Linked DNA regions of Macaca mulatta. The protein of the gene in region 2 purifies or fractionates together with the protein of the main gene of each other region. This does not show direct contact. Links are inferred from orthologs where the notes say so. Each region holds a gene or a part of one and is shown on either strand. Other genes may lie near its edges.

Region 1 (4,254 bases), on a different chromosome or scaffold from region 2:
TTTTTGTATTTTTAGTAGAGACAGGGTTTCACCGTGTTAGCCAGGATGGTCTTGATCTCCAGACCTCATGATCTGCCCACCTCAGCCTTCCAAAGTGCTGGGATTACAGGTGTGAGCCACCGCACCCAGCCGGCCCCAACCTGTATTTTAATAGCTTCAGTAAGTGGGCCTTTGTGCTTTAATGGGAATTTTCTTTTCTTTTTTTTTTTTTAAGACAGGGTCTCACTTGGTCACCCAGGCTGGAGTGCAGTGGCATGATCTTGGCTCACTGCAGCTTTGATCTCTCAGGTTCAAGCGATTCTCTGCCTCAGCCCCTCAAGGAGCTGGGACTACAGGAGTGTGCTATCACGCCAGCTAATTTTTTGTAGAGATAGGATTTTGCCATGTTGCCCAGGCAGATCTCAAACTCCTGAGCTCAAGTGATCTGCCTGCTTCAGCCTTCCAAAATGCTGGGATTACAGGCATGAGCCACCATAACCAGCCTAATGGTAATTTTCAAACACACACTAAAGCAGAGTGACTAGTACAAGGATCACCATCCAGCTTTAACAAACTACTGTTTCCACTATCTTATTTCATCTATCTCTCTAATTCATTTATTTTGCATTTATGTGTTTGTTGTTTATATTTGTTTATGCTAAACAAATATAAGCATTTAAAGATCAGTGTTGATGTTAAGTATTTATTACAGCATGATCCCTGCTGACCCTGAAGCTTTTTTTTTTTTTTGAGATGGAGTCTTGCTCTGTCACCCAGGCTGGAGTGCAGTGACATGATCTCGGCTCACTGCAAACTCTGCCTCCCGAGTTGAAGGGATTCTCCTGGCTCAGCCTCCTGACTAGCTGGGATTACAGTCGCCCACCACCATGCCCTGCTAATTTTTGTATTTTTAGTAGAGATGGGGTTTCACCATGTCATCCAGGCTGGTCTGGAACTTCTGACCTCAGGTGATCTGCCCACCTTGGCCTCCCAAAGTGCGGGGATTAGAGGTGTGAGCCACCGTGCCCGGCCACCTGAAGCTTTTTTAGGAGCTAAATCTTTTTGGAGGTTAGGTAAGTACACCCTATAAACTGCCCTCCATATAGGAAGGAGGAGCTCCATGCTAGAAGACATCTAAATGCTATGCAACGGGTTGCTCAGTCCCTAAGAATATGACACGTTTATGACCTGTGAATCTTGAATATGATTATAAGTTATCAACTTTGTGAGATCCTGAAACTTCACTTAAATTTTTTTTGTTTTTTTTGTTTTGGCAGGGCACAGTGGCTCATGCCTGTAATTCCAGCACTTTGGAAGAGGCGGGAGGATCACTTGAGGTCAGGAGTTCAAGACCAGCCTGGCCAATGTGAAATCCTATCTCTACCAAAAATACAAAAAAATTAGCCAGGCATGTTGGTGGGCACCTGTAATCCCAGCTACTCAAAAGGCTGAGGCAGGAGAATGGCCTGTACCCAGGAGGCAGGGGTTACAGTAAGTGGAGATCACATCCAGCCTGGGAGACAGAGTGCGGTCTCTGAATCAAAACAACAACAATGAATTGGCTTTTGCCTGTCACCAAGCAGGCTGTGCCTTGCATCTTTCTCCCCACTGTTCCCTGCTCGCTGCCATCTGGTGTCTATTTAGGAAACTGAAACTTAAGCTTGTTGCAGCCTGAGCCTAACAAAACAGAATTCATGCACATTAGTGGTCTAAAAAGGTCACATGATTTTATTACAAAGTAAAAAGAAATGCTTGGGGTGGTATAGTCTTCTACTAACATGAATAACATCAGCTGCCCTTCTACCTCCAGCAGGAACAAGGGAAGGGAAGGATTGGGCAGGGGCTATTTTCATTTTAACCCTTTTAGTAGTGCTTGATTTTTAAAACTATGTGTCTGTATTGCTTTTATGATACAAAAAAATATAAGTTAAAAAAATGATTAGGTGGCCAGGCATGGTGGCTCATGCCTGTAATCCCAGCACTTTGTGAGGCCCACAAGACGGGAGGATGGCTTGAGCTCAGTCAGGAGTTTGAAACCGAGCCTGGGCAACATACTGAGATTCTATCTCTAAAATAATAATAATAATAATAATAATAATAATAATAATAATGAGGTCCCAATTCTTGAGGATTTAAGTGTCTGATATTAAAGGAGCAAGTCAGCAAAGATTCAAATATGAAAACAAAACAAAAAACCTGGTCTCCCCGAATGGATTGCAAACACTGAGGTTAAGAGCTAAAACAATTTTTTCTCATTATCTCTCACTCTTAAGCACATATTTTGCACTCAAGAAGCTTTTCTGAAATGAACTGAATTTTGTGTGTGACCTTAGGCAATGTTTCATCTTTCAGTAGCTTATACTTTTAAACAAAACAAATAAAGACGATAGATTTATCTATCTTTGTTTTTAGATTTATCTATCTTTGAACATCGTTTTTAGGTGAAGATAAAAAATAATGCAGAGCAGAGTAACGTCAGATACCGAACCAACAATGCCAGATTCCGGGTCTCGGAAGCTGCAGGGCAGTTTTCGGGGAGGGGCATTGGGGTTGGGGAGATAGGCTGGACAGGAGAAGATCGAGAACCGAGCAGGCGACAGACAGCTCCTCTTTCAACCTGGGGACAGAAGCTGCCCCCTCCAGGGCGTAACTCCTGGGGCCAGTCGCCCTTCCCTGGGAGGAACTCTCACTCTCACCCCCACCCCTACCTCAGCACACCCTCTCAGGGCCCGTACCTGATTAGGGTTGCAGTCCCCGCGCCCTCCACTGGCTCTGGTCGCGACTTCCCGTCCGTAGAAGGAGTTCGGGTACTAGAGCCTCAGGCCCCGCCTACAACTTCGGCCTACACCCTCGGACCCGCCCCCTTGTAGTTGGCAGCGGAAGTCCGGAGCGGCCCCATTCCCAGTCGCCACCCCGACACTGGCTGCCACTCAGTCAAGCCCTTCCCAGACTGCGAACTCACTGGCGCCGCCGCAACTACACCCCCCCGCGGGGCGGGACAAGCTGAGCCGAAACCACACCTGCAGCTCCAGCGATTGGTGGAGAAGTTCAAGTAGGCACTTTCTACGAGGGGAGGAGTCTAATTAGTGGACTGGCCCAAGACTGAAACAGCTGATTTTCGAGAACCCGCTCGTGAGCCACGGAACCGAAACTAGCTTGAGGAGCCTGTAGACGCCAAGGGCTCCATGGGAAGGGGTGGGACCGGAATTTCGACGCCTTGGGATAGGAAGAGGAGGGCTGAGGTAATGAAAACAGTATTTTTTTTTTTTTTTTTTTGAGACGTGGTCTCGCTCTTATCACCCAGGCTGGAGTGCAGTGGCGCGACCTCGGCTCACTGCAGCCTCGACCACCCGGGCTCAGGTGATTCTCCCGCCTCAGCCTCCCAGGTAGCTGGGACTACAAGCGTGCATAACTCCGCCAGGATAATTTTTTGTGTTTATTGTAGAGACGGAGTTTCGCCATGTTGCCCAGGCTGGTCTTGAACTCCTGACCTCAGGTGATCCTCCTGCCTCGGCCTCCCACAGTGCTGGGATTACAGGCATGAGCCACTGCACCTGGCTAATAGCTATTTATTGAGAGTACTGTGATAAGCACTTTAGATTAATTGTGTCATTTAAAATTTACAGGGCAACTCGTTGAAGTTAAAATCATTCTCTCCTTTAGAAATTTAAAAACTGATCTTAGTTCAAGAAAGAAGTTACCAGTCAGTGATCACGGAGGCTCTAACAAGTGGAGCCTAGATTCAAAACCAAACCCTCTGACTTCAACCCCCAAACATTTACGTTCCTACGTTTTACTGTACAGCCTTCCTCCTGAATAAATCGGAGTTTAAAATTTTGAAGACATGTATACAGCTTGTCAGGATATTAGATTTATTAGTTCTGTGGTTACTACCTTCTTTTATATCCCAAGACTCCCAGCCCCAGGATCTAAGTCATAGCTCTTGATTATGGCCCACCCCCAGTAGGGAGCTGAACTTACTACTTCTGATATGAAAGAAGCCAGGGTAGTTGTTTCTTCCAAGTCACTCACATCTGAGATGGCCCTCAAACCCTCCTTGGTGGTCTCTGGCTGAGAGATGTTTGCGTCTTTCCGATCTTGGTAATACTGGATCAACTGCTGAACCCCAGACCTTAATGCAGGTTTAAGTGCAGCACTGATCGCTAGACCCATAGGTCCCCCTGACATCCCGGCCATGGTCATCAGAAGGTCATATCCCAGATCTATGGCCCCATCTCGGCCTCGTTCCCTGGCCTTGCCCAGGCAGTTTTGAGT
Region 2 (3,511 bases):
TGGCGGCACATGAGCGCGCTCAGCCCCCTCGCCATGTGATGCCCTGCACTGCACTCGCCATGTGATGCCCTGCACTGCCTCGCCTCAGGACTCTGAGAGTCCCCACCAGCAGGCAGGCCCTCACTAGGTGCAGCCCCTCAACCAAGACTTCCCAGCCTCCAGAACTGTAAGAAATAAATTACCTAGTCTCAGATATTGAGTTATCACAACAGAAATGGACTAACACATATGGGGGCAGCAAATACCAAGAGAATCCCCTTACCAGTGTCTTCAAGGGCTTTGAGTTCACATCAAAAAGAGACAGTGGAAGGGTAAGCATGCTGCTGTTTCTGCTACTCTCCATGGCACAGTCGAGGCAAATCAAGGAGTCCTTCACCCGGATCATATACAGGGCCTGCAGCCTCTCCACCTGCAAGAGGGAGAGCAGAGAGGTGAGATGGGAACACCACCATAAGCCAGGTCAGGCCAATTGCCAGAAGGTGGAGCCAAGAGACAGAAGCTCTAGAAATGGTAGCCACTAATGCTCTTTGGCCTACTCACAAAGGTGCAAAATATTACCAGTAACAATATTATGAAACTGTGATAAGTGTTTTATGTGGATTAACTCTCTTATTCCTCTACACACTACAGGAACAACAGCTGAATGAGTTAAATGAGCAGCATCTTAAGCTTCCGAGTGCTCTGGTTCTAGGTTCTTACCAAGTGCACATCAGTGATCTGGTCCTTGATCAGGTTCCAGAGTTTGAGGTAGAGTTGGGCGGCATCATGCTGGACAAACACTAGCCACAGAGAAAAGGAACAGCCAATTAGTGAGGTCTTCAGAGTCACTTCTCATGCCCTAGTATCTAGACATACATGAATACTCACCATTTTGTCTCTTCCTAGCCCTCCACCCCACTGCAAGGCTAAGTTGGCACTATATAAGAGGTGATCAATAAACGAACAGTAAGTTTGGTATTGATTTTTGAGAACGCCTCTTGAAACTTAAGCTCCAGTGCCAGGTGTAGTGACTCATGCCTATAATCTTAACACTTCAGGATGCCAAGGCAGGAGGATCGCTTGAACTCAGGAGTTTGAGACTAGCCTGGGCAACAAAACAAGACTCTGTCTCTATAAAAAATTTTAAAAATTAGTTGAGCATAGTGGTGCACACCTGTAGTCAGAGCTACTTGGGAGGCTGAAGCAGGAGGATCACTTGAGCCCAGGATGTTGAGGCTACAGTGAGATGTGATGTCACCACTGCACTCAGCCTGGGGAATGAGATGTCCACAGGGACTTTGAAAAGCACTGATACATTCCTGAGGATCTAGAAGGCCAGGCGCATGCCCAAGTAAGACCTGAAAGGGCTCCAATCCCTCCCCTCTGGCTGACCACAAGGCCACGTGCAAGAAAGCAATGAAGGCAAATACAGAATCATAAACTGCCCAGTAACAATAAAACAGCAACAACAACAAACCCTGGTGTGGGCATCTCTGATGTCCAGTGTTGCCACCTTACATCATCTAAAATGTTCATTTTCCAACAAAAGAGACAAGACACACAATGAAACGGAAAAGTATGGCCACATACAGGAAGACAGCAATCAGTAGAACCTTTCACTGAGAAGCCCTAGATGTTGGCTTTACTAAACAAAGACTTTAGCTGTTATAATATGTTCAAAGAATTAAAGAAAACCATGTCAAAAGAAGTAAAAGAGCCGGGCGCAGTGGCTCACGCCTGTAATCCCAGCACTTTGGGAGGCCGAGGCAGGCAGATCACAAGGTCAGGAGATCGAGACCATGGTGAAACCCCGTCTCTACTAACAATACAAAAAATTAGCCGGGCGTGGTGGTGGGCGCCTGTAGTCCCAGCTACTCAGGAGGCTGAGGCAGGAAAATGGCATAAACCCAGGAGGCGGAGCCTGCAGTGAGCCGAGATCGTACCACTGCACTCCAACCTGGGCAACAGAGCGAGACTCCGTCTCAAAAAAAAAAAAAAAAAAAAAAGTGAAAGAAAGTACGAAGGGGGCCGGGCGCGGTGGCTCACGCCTGTAATCCCAGCACTTTGGGAGGCCGAGATGGGCGGATCACGAGGTCAGGAGATCAAGACCATCCTGGCTAACACGGTGAAACCCCGTCTCTACTAAAAATACAAAAAAATTAGCCGGGCACGGTGGCGGGCGCCTGTAGTCCCAGCTACTCAGGAGGCTGAGGCAGGAGAATGGCGTAAACCCGGGAGGCGGAGCTTGCAGTGAGTGGAGATCGCACCACTGCACTCTAGCCTGGGCGACAGAGCGAGACTCCGTCTCAATTAAAAAAAAAAAAGAAAGAAAGAAAGTACAAAAATGCTACCTCAACAAATAAAGAGTATCAATAAAGAAAAAACTGTAAAAAAAGAACCAAGCAGAAATTCTTGAGTTGAGGAGAACAATAACTGAAATGAAAAATGTACTAGAGGAGGTCAACAGCAGATTAGAGCTGGCAAAAGAAAGAATCCAGGCCGGGCGCGGTGGCTCACGCCTGTAATCCCAGCCCTTTGGGAGGCCGAGACGGGCGGATCACGAGGTCAGGAGATCGAGACCATCCTGGCTAGCACGGTGAAACCCCATCTCTACTAAAAAATACAAAAAACTAGCCGGGCGAGGTGGCGGGCGCCTGTAGTCCCAGCTACTCGGGAGGCTGAGGCAGGAGAATGGCATAAACCTGGGAGGCGGAGCTTGCAGTGAGCTGAGATCCAGCCACTGCACTCCAGCCTGGGCGACAGAGCGAGACTCCGTCTCAAAAAAAAAAAAAAAAAAAAAGAAAAAGAAAGAATCCATACACCTGGAGATAGGTTGATTGAGCTTCTCCAGACTGAGGACGGAAGGAAAGTTGAACATAGTGCCTCTGCAGCCGAAAAGCTGGTTAGCTGCTCACCGCATGTGCTGTTCAACTAACTCTGATACAAAAAAAAATGTGATACAAAAGAAGGCTTCATACACAAACGTGAATTTATTCTGAAGCCAGCTTGGAGGAAGGAGCACGACGCAGTCTGCCTTTTAATGTGCCATTTCTCCTTTGGAGGAAAAAGGGGCATTTTCATCAGGTGTGTTGTGGGGGTGAGGGGTTGAGCAATGGCGGTTTTCTACCGGGCAGTTATCATGTACCCAGCTGAGCTGGCACCTTCCTGGGCAGAAGTAAATTGTAAAAGTGGCCGAGTGGGCATGCTTTCTCCATGCCTTCCTAGTGGGTGAAAGACAAACCCCTAGAAGGTGGAAGTTTCGAGGCCACCCCTGGCAGGGAGGGTTCCCTGGTGGGTATGCTTGGGGCTGCAAATCTACTGCCAAGTCTCAGGAAAGATGAGCTGGAAGAACTTGCCCTGTTCTCAGTCAAACCTCCATCAGCCTACCTCCATTTACAGATTCTTCCTTTTGCCCAGCAGGGAATGTCTGGAGACGGGTAGGCGAAAGGTGATACTTGCATTTCTAAAGAGCTAACAGGAAACAGGAAACACGGCCATGGTGAGGGGTGAGGGATGGGAAGAGGAGAAGTGA

What was found. Proteins that work in one complex are often made in the same cells at the same time.
Region 1: the proteins of USP18 (region 2) and STAT2 purify together in Homo sapiens (affinity purification with western blotting; 6 studies listed by BioGRID and IntAct, with this or other methods). This does not show direct contact. The link is inferred for Macaca mulatta from reciprocal best matches to the Homo sapiens genes USP18 and STAT2.

The regions. Positions count from the first base shown.
Region 1 is NC_133416.1:63,528,694-63,532,947, forward strand, and holds the start of STAT2 (signal transducer and activator of transcription 2), read right to left. Parts: upstream 2,808-4,254; 5' UTR 2,715-2,807; intron 1-2,714. Other genes in the region: APOF (apolipoprotein F), read right to left, coding at 3,880-4,254. UniProt on the Homo sapiens protein: Signal transducer and activator of transcription that mediates signaling by type I interferons (IFN-alpha and IFN-beta).
Region 2 is NC_133415.1:33,903,750-33,907,260, forward strand, and holds part of USP18 (ubl carboxyl-terminal hydrolase 18), read right to left. Parts: intron 780-3,511; coding exon 700-779; intron 410-699; coding exon 263-409; intron 1-262. UniProt on the Homo sapiens protein: Interferon-induced ISG15-specific protease that plays a crucial role for maintaining a proper balance of ISG15-conjugated proteins in cells. Regulates protein ISGylation by efficiently cleaving ISG15 conjugates linked via isopeptide bonds.